Linked DNA regions of Coturnix japonica. The protein of the gene in region 2 binds, or shares a complex with, the protein of the main gene of each other region. Links are inferred from orthologs where the notes say so. Each region holds a gene or a part of one and is shown on either strand. Other genes may lie near its edges.

Region 1 (3,741 bases), on a different chromosome or scaffold from region 2:
GGAGCACCGGGGTCCCCCCGCCCGCCCCGTCGGGGGAGGCAGCAGGAAGGCGGCCGGGTGGGTGGTGCCGGTTGGGGGGTGGTGGTGGTGATGGGGGGGGGGGGGGTCGCTGCTATTTTCAATCCATCTCGAACCTAAAAATAAAAAGCCTCCAGAAAAGGCGAAGAGGGAAAGAGGAGGGAGGGTTTCTAGGGACGGGGGGGATGGGGGGCTGCTTCTCTCTGCCGACGGGACGCGTCGTCTCCCCCCCCCCCCCCCCCCCTGTGTCTCGGGGGGAGCGATCCCGCTGCACCGTGGGGCCCTTTTGTGCCAGGAGGAGCCTTCCCCCTTCCCCGAAGGCTTCCGCAGGGCTGCACATGAAGGGCTTAAAACAATACCGGGGACAATAGCCCTCCCCGGGGGCTCCTCCGCTCACCCCGCCGGGTCGGGCCGTTCCCCTGCAGCCCCGCTCCCCTGGCGCCAGGGGACCTCCCGGCCCCTTTGATGCTGAAGTTGGATTTTTTTTTTCTTCTTCTTCTTTTTTTCTTTCTTTTTTTATTTTCTTTTTTTTTCTTTTTTTTTTTTTACACCCAGAAAAATCCCATTCAGGCACCGGGGGGAAGGGGGGGTGGGGGATGGGAGAGATGTAGGGGGAGGGGCGCGATGGGGGCTGGAGGCTGCACAGATGGGAAAGTGCCTCCGACGGGACGGGACGGGCGGGGCCCGAAGGGTGGAGTGGGGGGGTGATGAGAAGGGGGGGATGGTGGTGGTGGTAGTGAAGAGAACACGGAGTGGGTGCGCTCCCCGATCCGAAGAGGGGTGTGTGTGTGTGTATGTGTGGAGGTAAATAACGTAGTATTTAAATTAAAATAAATAATTAAGTGGAAGCTGCCCCCTCCCCCCCCCCTCCCCTTCCCTCCCACCCCCATCGTCCGGCCCCTCCCCCCCGGGGGCTGGGCCCTCCTGCATCACCACGTGGCTTCCTCCCGCAAACATTTTCACTCATTTTCCAGGTCGGTTTTATTTAGAGGCGGTGCCCGGCTGCCCAAAGGCGTCCGGTGACACTCCGGTGCCGCTCCGCCGCTTTGGGGGCCCCCGCAGCCGGCGCCGCCACCGCCTCCTTCCCCGCAGCCGTCGCCTATTGCAGCCACCCCCCTCTTCTTTAGGACCCCCCACCTCTAACAGCAGCAGCCGCCGCCGCGCCCCTCTACGAGGAAAACTCCACCAAACGACCAAAAAAAAAAAAAAAAAAAAAAAAAACAAAAAAAACCCCACCCCGAAACAAAAAAAAAAGCAAAGGAGGGGGGAGGGAGTGTGCAAAGAAAAGGACCACCGAGCTTCAAACCCGGCTGTGGGGTGGCAGACGGCGGCTGCTGTCCGACGGTGCGGGCGTACGGTGGGAGCCCCCCCGGCAGCCGCGCTCCGAGCCCCGGCGCGCCGCCACCGCCCGCCCGCCGCCCCCCGCCGGCAGCCACCATGAACAAGCTGTATATTGGGAACCTAAATGAGAGCGTGACTCCGGCCGACTTGGAAAAAGTCTTCAACGACCATAAGATTTCTTTCAGCGGGCAGTTTTTGGTTAAGTCCGGTTATGCCTTTGTGGACTGCCCCGACGAGCAATGGGCCATGAAAGCCATCGAAACTTTTTCGGGTAAGCGGTGTCCTTCGGTTCTTTCGATCGGAGAGTTGCGGGATCCGGTCGGGATTCGGGTGGGGAATAGGGGGGGGTTCGGGCCGTTACGCTCCGTCGGGGTTTGTATCAGCGAGCGGGGCAGACCCCGCTTCTACCCCATTAACAGCGAGCACTTGGAGGGGGGAGAGAAGGAGAGGGGTCCCCACTGTTCCCAATGGCTTCGTGGGGGTTACACGGTGCCCGTCCCGGTGGTGTTCGATGCGGGGGTCCCGTCGCGACAGTGGGGTGGGACTTTGGCCATTTTGATTTCAAACTGGGTTTCCTGGGGCATGTGATGCGCAGAGGAGCGCGAAGGTCGCCATGCTGCTCGCAAGACGGAGGGGGGGGAGAGTGGGAAGGGAAGGAAGGGGGGGGGTGGAAAGAAAAGCTCCCCGGGAAACAGTGAATTTTTGAAAACGTTGGAATATTTTCCCCTCGCCTAAAGCTGCTCCCTCCGGGCTCTCCCCATTGCTGCTCCCCTCTTCTTTTCCCTTCCCTCCCCCCCCCAATTAATATATAAACCGGCGGTGTGGAAATCCGCCCCCATTTTCCAAGAGAAATCCATTCGTAGCGTGGAGTTAAACAATTTTTGAGCCCCTTTTTAATGGGGATGAGGAATGATCTGGCCGGAGTTGTTGTGAACGGCTCAAACGCGTGGAATTCGAGGGGGGAAAAAAAAATTGATCTCAATATATTCTGCCTCGTTTTCTTTCGCTCGGAGCAGAGCTGAATGAAGGACGGGATTAAATATTCCTAAGGAACATTGTTCAGACGGCGAACTCATTGCTCCGCATTAGAAGTCAGCCTTATATTTAATATAGCACACTTATGATCACACGCACACACGAAAAAGCCTTTTTTAATGCAGCTTGTAGTGATTGGAATGAAATGGGAAGTTTTACATGATAGAATGTTACCCAAAGCTTTCTGACCACCCCACCCAGATCATACAAAACAGCCACATTTTGTTTTTAGGGAAAGTGGAGCTGCATGGAAAACAGCTAGAGATTGAACACTCAGTACCTAAAAAGCAAAGGTAATACGGTGTTTTAATTACTTTTTCTTTATGTTTTATTTTTTGGAGGGGGGGAGGAGGGGGAAATAATAACGTAAGAGGAAGGAGGCAAAAAAATTATATCCAAATATGTGCATGTGGAAGGAGATATGGTGGTGGTTTGGCTTTGGGTATGGCCCAGCGAGGTGAGGAACGGCTCTGAGGATCAGCGTTCCCTTTCGTATCTTTAGTGTATTTTTAAAGGAAACTTTTCTTTGGGATTAAGTTTTGCTTCAGTTTGTTTGTTAGGAAAAAATAAGACCAACAACCCCAAAAAACAACCCTGGGTCCCGACGATTCGCCTTCCATTCACCCAAGTGATGAATGGCGTTTGGGGTTGGAATTTTCAAACTTGTGGCACTGGAAGAATTTCCCAGTGTTGCTCCATGAGAAGGACCCCAAAACCTTTTGTTATTTCCAAGTTTTTAAACACCCTCTTTGCTTATTTTGTCATTTACGGGTGAAATTTGCCTGGGATGGAGGGCGAGGGTTTAAAAACGAACATCAGTAATTAAATAAAAATGGGGCTGGTTGCGTGTTGGTGTGAGGTTTTCAGCCCGGCTGTGTGGGGTGCTGGTTTAGCTCCTTGTTGCCCCTCAACTTGTTGTTTTTTAGGGCTGGAACCCCATTTCTTCATGCTTTCCCCAGGCGTTGCGGCCCAGCTCGGCCTACCCAGCCCTCCCCATCTTCTTGGCCCTTTGTTGCTGAGGGCGCGCGGGACGCTGGGCCTGGAGGGCCCTGAGGGTTCAGGCAGTGAACTGCTGGGCCCAGGGGGGATTCACTGTTGTGTGTGGGGGTCTTTGGGTTGATCTTGATCCCTTCCCTAGAGCTGGGTGAGCTCTCCTCAGGGCCTGGTGCCCGCGCTGGGCCATGCAGCCGCTCCGCCACGTGATGGGGCGGCCGCCCCGGCGCTCAACATGGTGTAGAAGGAAACTCTTCCTTCCCCAAACTCTTGTTTTTTTTCTGCTGGCTGAGGACCCCTTTGGGGAGCCTGTGTAGACCTGGCCCCACTGGGAGGCTGTGGGGTTTGGCAGCA
Region 2 (3,741 bases):
CTGAAGGTGTCGGGCTGGGCTGTGAGGCAGTAGTTGGTCGATGTGATGCCTCGGAGGAAGTGAGTAATACTTAGCGTTGCCTTCCTGCCTGTGTTTTGTCTTTCTCTGGAGTTGCGGATCTGGCAGAGTTGATGGGGTTGGCTTCGGTAAGGTTTGCAAGCTGGGGCTGTCGGGAGCTGCAATTCAGGAGGCTCCCACATCAGGGACGTACATCTGACAACGCCCTAAACGTGGCTCGATGTGCTTTCCATGTCGGCGTTATTAGGAAGCAAAACGCCAAACGAGCGCACGCTCCGAGGGGCCCCGCTGACAGCCCATTTCCCGGCCTCGCCTTTCCGAATAACGGCGGTGCCCTCGGGGAGATCCCCGCTCTGAGGAACCGCTGGGGGAGCGGGCGGGGCTGGGAGAGAGGGGGAGCGCGGTGATGAGGGGACGGCCGCGTGTGGGGAGCCGCTGCCCCCATGAGGTGGGGCGGGGAGCGGCGCCTCCCTGTTGGAGGCTGGGCGCCGTGCTGCGGGCTGGCCGGCAGCCACACAAAGCGCCGCTCTCCCCTCCCTTTGTCTGCGTGGCTTTGTCTCTATCACAGTCTCACAGTCTGGTGCGGGTTGGAAGGGACCTTAGAGATCATCGAGTCCAACCCCCGGGATTCGAGCCCTGTGTAGCAGAGCGGCACTTCGACCACTTGCGCCACAGGGGGATTCGAACCGGGGTCTCCGGCGTTGCAAAGTGCCTCCGGCCGCGGCCCTCCCCTTCGTGCCACCTGCGCACCGTGGGAACGGCCGCTCACCCCCTGGTGTCCCTCCCGCCGCGGAGCTCCGTGGCGCGGCGCTTTGTCACCGCTTTTATTGTCTGTTCTATGCGAGCGGTTCCCGCACAGGTGTGTCGGAGCTGCGGGAGGCGCCGCCTGCCGCGCCCCGCCGTCCTACAACCCGGCGCGTCCCGCCGCCTCAGCCGCCTCCTCCTCCTCCTCCCCTGTCGGCAGCGCGCAAGTCCACGCGTGCGCGAGCCCCGCGCGCTCCCGCCGTGCCGGGAGGGGGCGGCGCCGCGATGGGGGAGGGAGGGGACGGCGGGGCGGGAGCGCGCGCAGCCCGTCGGGCGGGGCGAGGCGATAACCCTTGCGGAGCTGCCTGGGAGACCCCGGGTTTGGGGCTGCGCCAGCGCGCGCGGCGCCTCCTCCTCGCTTCCCCCCCCCGGCTCCCCCCCCCGCCCCCCCGAGCCGAGTGGAAGGGGCTGGGGTTGGTGCCAGCAGCGGCGTGAGCGCTCGAGCGGCCGCCATTTTACGCCAGCTCCAGCACACTGTCCGGACACGCCGAGGGAGCGGAGAAGGGGGGCAGCTCCTCAGCACGCCGAGCCGCCAGCCGCGCCCCGAGCCCCTTCGCACGGCGTTTCGCCCCCGCAGCCGCAGGTCAGCGCCGGGCCGGGGGCTGCACTCGGAGCGGGGCCGGGAGCGGGGCCGGGCCCGGCTGAGGCGGCGGAGGGGCCGAGGGGCGGGGGGCACTCGGCGCTGCCGGGCGGCGCCGCGCTGCGGGCGGAGGAGCGGAGCGGCCGTTTCGGGCGGCGGACGGAGGGCGCGGCGGGTCGGGCCGGGGCGGCGGGTAGGCCCGGCGGGCGGGGGGGGACGGCCCCGTGCGGGACGCGTGGCTCCGCTTCATTGTCCCGCCGGCCCCGCCGCGCCATTCATTACCCGACACGGGCCGCGCCGCCGGAGCCGCCGGGCTCGTTCGCCTCCCGGGGCGGAGCGCGGTGGCGGCTGCCCGGGCCGGGGGTGCCGCGGGCTTGGCGGCGCGGCCCCGCATTGTTTCGGGGGAAGCGCGGCTCGGCGGCGGCGGCGCGGCCGGGAGGCGCGTGGAGCGGCCGGGCCGGTGGTGAAATCGGGCCCGCGGTGTCGCAACCGCGATCCGGGGGGAATCGGGCGAGAGGTGGGGAAGGGCCGGGGCGCGGGCGGGGGGGAGCCGCTCCTCCTGCTCCCGGGAGCGCGGCGGGGAGGGGGAAGTCGGTCACTGGAGGAAGTTGTAGGACATCTGAGCGCGCAGAGCACGTGTTTCCAGCGGGCTCATGGCGGCCGCCGCTGCCGCCGTGGGAGGGTGCGGGCCGGAACGGGCGCTTTGTTTCTACGCCGGCCCGGCCCGGTCCGGACGGCGGCGCGGGCGGGAGGGGAGCGCGACCGCGAGGGGTCGGGGGGCGGGGGGGGCGGGCGGGCGGGCGGTGGTGGTGGTGAAGGAACGCGGCGGTTCGCTGCTTAACGCCCCCGCCGCTGGCTCCGGGCTCCGTCCCGAACTTGTTGGGAGCTTCTCGGGGAGCGCGTTACGGAGACAGCGGGCGAGGTGAGTCAGTGTCTGGCTGCGTTGTGTAAAACCTGCAGTGAGAGCCACCCCGCCCCCGCCAGGCAGCGGCGTTAGGGCTTCCCTTTGTGTCAAGGCTCCTTTTGAGGAATTCCGTGCGGCTCTGGAAGCTGGAAGTATCCGGGAAGTGCTCCGCTGTCTCTTTACGAGAATTGGGTGGGCTGCTGCACGTGCTGTCACTTGAATTGTTCTGCTGGAAGGTGTTTGCAGCTTAACGATTCTGCTTCTCGCGTTTGAACAGATATCTGGAAACATGGCTACTGAACATGTGAATGGGAACGGTACTGAAGAGCCAATGGACACTTCTGCTGCGGTTACCCATTCTGAGCACTTCCAGACGTTGCTTGATGCTGGTTTACCACAGAAAGTTGCTGAAAAACTAGACGAAATTTACGTGGCAGGTAAGCAGTGAAACTTGCCAAACCTTCCTAGGTCCTAGAATATTTCACTGGCTTCTGCTGCTGTCTTTGGGCTATCTGAGCAACTTCATGTGGTTTTTAGAAGTACAAGAACTACAGTCTCAACAAAATACATGGTGTTTTTTTGTGCTTGTTTTCTTGTTTGTTTTTATCATTCAGTGTTTTAGTTTATCATGATGTTTCCCAGAGAGCAGTCTGGGCCAAGCTGCTTGGGGTGGGTGGTGGGAAAGAGAAGTATGAGTATAAGCATAGTATTACCTGGGATAGGCAACAGCTGACACTTAGAAGGAGCAGGTGATATGGGCTTTGTGAGCTTTTAGTGTAGTTGTAGATAATGTCAAGTCACTGAAGCCTTGGTAGACATCATCTGATGTAAATGATGCTTTGTGGCATGGTACTGGAGCTCATAGATTGTCATTGTATTCTGCCTGTCAGGCATGGCAGTAGCATAGTAAAGCTTGATTTTGGTGCTGTAGTTGCTTTGAGTGCTGCAGTTTGCAGTCTCCTCCCAGTCATCACAGTACGTTGCTCATCAAGCCAAGTCAGTTTTTGATAGATCCTTTAGAGTTCAACTTAAGGATACCAAAACTAAACCTGCCCCGCGTGACATGAGAATTCAAATACATGAATGCATTAACTCTTAGTCTAATTCTTATGATTTTAATACTTCTGGATGAAAGTAAGCAAAGTGCACTTAAATTTTAACTTAGGGAACTGAGTGATTTCTTAGTTATAGCAACTTACTTTTAGCCAGCAATTGGTTTAGGGGACACTGAAGTATATTAGGTGTGTTAAATATGATGAAACAGAGATTGCTACCCAAATGTAATTAGTAATTTTTTTTTTTCTTTTCTCTAGGGCTAGTTGCACATAGTGATCTAGATGAAAGAGCAATTGATGCTCTTAGGGAATTTAATGAAGAAGGAGCCCTCTCTGTATTACAGCAGTTTAAAGACAGTGATCTCTCACATGTTCAGGTA
Region 3 (3,741 bases), on a different chromosome or scaffold from region 2:
CCCGAGCCCGGCGCTGGGGGGAGGATGGGCGGCGGGTCCATCGATCTGCGCCCCGGGGCCGCAGCGTTGTTCCGTCCCGCCACACTCTGCCCCTCGGCCGCTGCCGTGTTTGCCGAGCAAACAAGGGGCCTCCGCTCTCCCTGCCGGCCCTGACCCCGCGACGTGCGGGGGGCTCCCCCGGCCCCGCGATCGCAGCCCCCTTCGGGCCGCACCGCCGCCTCCCCTGGCCTTTAAGAAAAGGTCGTAACCTCAAGCCGGGGCTAAACTTAGCCGCTGCCCCTCGGTGCTCCGGGAATGGCAGCCGTACAAGGAGCGTTGGGTTACGGGAGCTGCGTGACCCCCCGCTCGGACCCTCTCCCCCCGGCATCCTCCGTCCCCACCGCTGGAGCCGGGGCCCACCTCACCCCTGCACGCCCCCTCCTCCCGCCGGGCATCCGGCTTCGAGCACCCGCTCCATCGCAGGGGATGGAGGCTATAAACCCAGCACGGCTCCATCCCACGGCCCCTCTTTGGGCCGCACGAGCCCCAGCCGTAACACGTAAGAACCGCTTCTTGCCCACACCCCGGGCCCGGCTGCCAGGCGCAGACGTGCCGGGCTGGGAGAGGGACGGCGGCGGCTCGAGGCGGCGGGAGGATATGAGGATATCCGCTGTCACGGCGCAAGAGATGCTGCAGTTCCTTATTAGCGCGGCCTGAGAGCGCCGGTGTGACAGCGGGTGCGGGACCCCGGCAGCCCGGGGCTGCGTGACCAACACGTGCGAGGGCTGATTATGGCAGCGGGCAGGCTGCGGGCTCGCAGCACGGCGCTCTCTCGGCCGTGCGTGCTGCCATTAATGCAGCCCGCACCCGCCGCACCGCATCGTGCTGCAGCCGCACCCCGCAGCCTCACCCGAGGACACCGACGCGGGGCTTTGTCTGCACCCCCCATCCGAAGGGCACCCCCACTCCGTACAAGCCCCGCAGTGCGGCCCCAACCCCCCGAGCCCACCCTCGACCCAACGGCCGCCCTTTGTTGCGAGGGGGGAGGGGGAGAGAAGCGGGGGGGGGGCTGCCGCTTCACCCGCACCGTGCGTGCACGTAGCCCCGGCCCGGCCCTCGCGCTGCCATTCGGTGCCGGCCCGGCGGGGCGGGGCGCGGGGTGCTGCCGCCGTGTCTATAAAGGGCGGCGGAGCGGCACTGCGCCACCTTCTCACTGCGCGCCGGGGCCGTTGACTAGGAGCAGGTAACGGGCGGGGGGCACGGGGGCGGAGGAACGGCTCCCCCCACCCCTACCCACCCACCCACCCAGCCGGCCGCCCTCCCGTCTGCTTGAGCCCCTCGTAGGGTCGGGGCCGTCGGACCGCGAGGAGTGCGGCGGGGGGAGGGGGCTGTGCAGGACCGCGTGGTGCCCGGGGCACAAAGGCGGGGGCGGGCGGCGTAAGATGGAGGCGGTGGGGGTGGGGGGAGAGGTGCGGGGGGCACAGCTCGGTGGGGATGGAGGGAGGGAGGGATGGCGGGTGGGGGGGCGGCTCCCGGTGCGTGCGGTGGGGGGGTGTTATGGGGCGGGCGGGCTGCGTGCGGTACCGCACGTCTGAGCGTTGGCGTGTCCCCGCAGGTACACTATAAGGGAGAGATGGTGAAAGTCGGAGTCAACGGGTGAGTGAGTGCGGAGCCGGGACGGGAGGCGCCGGGCGGGGCGGGCGGGGATGTACGTGCCCGTGGGGGGGGGGAGGACGACACGAGACAAGGTCGCCTGAAGGGCGGGGGGCCCCGCGGCGCCGCGGAGAGACCCCCCCATCCTCCAACCCCCAACCGGGAGTAACGGCCCCGTGGGGCGGTGCTGAGTCACTTCCCCGCACGGTCGGGGTGAGTCACCCCGGAAGCGCCGGTGCTGCCCGCGTGCCCCGTCGGGGGCTCTGCCCGCACTAATGGGGCTCCCCGGGGCAGTGGGTACCCGAGGAAAGGTCGCCCGGTGGATCGTGTGTCGGCCGTGCCCCGGGAACGTGACCTTCTCCCACCGCACCGAGGAGTAACCGGATCCCCGGGGCCCTCAGTAAATTTAGCGCCTGACCTTTGTGGTGTGGGTGCCCTGCCCGGGGGTCGCTCTTAATCTTTAACCACGGCTCCTCGGCCTTTGGCCGCTGCTGTTGGATTCCATTCAGGCAGCGACTGACAGATGCTCTGGGGGGAAGTAGCAGATAGGCTCAGCCGTGCCTTACCAAGCATGTTCCTCAGTGCTCCTCCTCACCCACCTCTCTGTTTCTCCCCAGATTTGGCCGTATTGGCCGCCTGGTCACCAGGGCTGCTGTCCTTTCTGGCAAAGTCCAAGTGGTTGCTATCAATGATCCCTTCATCGATCTGAACTACATGGTGAGTTGTCTTGCAGTGCCCCCTCTGGGCGATGCGTGCACCTTCAGCGGGGCTCCCCTTGGAAACCTGGCATAGGTTAAGAGAGAAATGAGATGTAGTGATGCAAAGCTGGGCAGAGCAAAATACAGAGCAGCAGTTAGACAAGATGGCTGGTATTGTAGTGGGAGCTTTGCATCTAGGATGCCTGACCCTTCTCTTTTCTCTCCCTGCTAGGTTTACATGTTCAAATATGATTCTACACACGGACACTTCAAGGGCACTGTCAAGGCTGAGAACGGGAAACTTGTGATCAATGGGAACGCCATCACTATCTTCCAGGAGTGAGTAGCTTTCTTCTCTCGCTGCTCCAGAGAATGAAAGTAAGTGCCCTCCAGAGTAACTCCCATGGTTTTGTCCCCTCTCAGGCGTGACCCCAGCAACATCAAGTGGGGAGATGCTGGTGCTGAGTATGTTGTGGAGTCCACTGGTGTCTTCACCACCATGGAGAAGGCTGGGGTATGTAGGCTGCTGTGGCCCATGGGAAAAGGTGCTCTGAGGATTGTATTCCTTCTCAACTGTTGGGCCGTTCTGGGTAATTTAATCTTTCCTTTTTTGTTTTTCAGGCTCATCTGAAGGGTGGTGCTAAGCGTGTTATTATCTCAGCCCCCTCAGCTGATGCTCCCATGTTCGTGATGGGTGTCAACCATGAGAAATATGATAAGTCCCTGAAAATTGTTAGGTAAGGGAGAAGAATGCTCCCTGGCCTGGAATTTTCTTCGGGTCTTGTTGCACGTATATACATGTGTTGTACTTGGCTGATGTGCCTTCTTTCTCCCCCAGCAATGCTTCATGCACCACCAACTGTCTGGCACCATTGGCCAAGGTCATCCATGACAACTTTGGCATTGTGGAGGGTCTTATGGTAGGTCTGGAGCTTGATGCTCAGTAAGATACCCTGCCCCCAGGTCCTCCATGTGTGGGGGAAAAAAGCATTCACACACAGTGCTTCCATTGGGCTTGGGAGGAAGTGCTGGGGGTGCTTTCTCTGGGGAAAGTGACTGCTTTCTTACTTCTGGGCCTTCTTTCCACAGACCACTGTGCACGCCATCACAGCCACACAGAAGACTGTGGACGGCCCCTCTGGGAAGTTGTGGAGGGATGGCAGAGGTGCTGCCCAGAACATCATCCCAGCATCCACTGGGGCTGCTAAGGCTGTGGGGAAGGTCATCCCTGAGCTCAATGGGTGAGCGTCCTCTTTCTGTGTCTGATGGGGGGCAGGAGCCAGTGTGTGGCTGGCTCAAACACTTTTGTGGTAGAACATGCTTACACTGTTCTTTGCTGACATATCTCTTGCAGGAAGCTTACTGGAATGGCTTTCCGTGTGCCAACCCCCAATGTCTCTGTTGTTGACCT

Evidence for each region.
Region 1: SYNCRIP (region 2) and IGF2BP1 share a complex: the UniProt entries of both Homo sapiens proteins name them as parts of the coding region determinant (CRD)-mediated complex. The link is inferred for Coturnix japonica from reciprocal best matches to the Homo sapiens genes SYNCRIP and IGF2BP1.
Region 3: SYNCRIP (region 2) and GAPDH share a complex: the UniProt entries of both Homo sapiens proteins name them as parts of the GAIT complex. The link is inferred for Coturnix japonica from reciprocal best matches to the Homo sapiens genes SYNCRIP and GAPDH.

Annotation. Positions count from the first base shown.
Region 1 is NC_029542.1:3,037,150-3,040,890, reverse strand, and holds the start of IGF2BP1 (insulin-like growth factor 2 mRNA-binding protein 1), read left to right. Parts: upstream 1-968; 5' UTR 969-1,455; coding exon 1,456-1,630; intron 1,631-2,626; coding exon 2,627-2,687; intron 2,688-3,741. UniProt on the Homo sapiens protein: RNA-binding factor that recruits target transcripts to cytoplasmic protein-RNA complexes (mRNPs). This transcript 'caging' into mRNPs allows mRNA transport and transient storage.
Region 2 is NC_029518.1:70,014,636-70,018,376, forward strand, and holds the start of SYNCRIP (heterogeneous nuclear ribonucleoprotein Q), read left to right. Parts: upstream 1-1,200; 5' UTR 1,201-1,405; intron 1,406-2,301; exon of another isoform or gene 2,302-2,324; intron 2,325-2,583; 5' UTR 2,584-2,595; coding exon 2,596-2,743; intron 2,744-3,619; coding exon 3,620-3,738; intron 3,739-3,741. UniProt on the Homo sapiens protein: Heterogenous nuclear ribonucleoprotein (hnRNP) implicated in mRNA processing mechanisms. Component of the CRD-mediated complex that promotes MYC mRNA stability.
Region 3 is NC_029516.1:69,304,214-69,307,954, forward strand, and holds the start of GAPDH (glyceraldehyde-3-phosphate dehydrogenase), read left to right. Parts: upstream 1-1,098; 5' UTR 1,099-1,222; intron 1,223-1,594; 5' UTR 1,595-1,612; coding exon 1,613-1,635; intron 1,636-2,249; coding exon 2,250-2,349; intron 2,350-2,562; coding exon 2,563-2,669; intron 2,670-2,753; coding exon 2,754-2,844; intron 2,845-2,951; coding exon 2,952-3,067; intron 3,068-3,168; coding exon 3,169-3,250; intron 3,251-3,419; coding exon 3,420-3,571; intron 3,572-3,684; coding exon 3,685-3,741. UniProt on the Homo sapiens protein: Has both glyceraldehyde-3-phosphate dehydrogenase and nitrosylase activities, thereby playing a role in glycolysis and nuclear functions, respectively.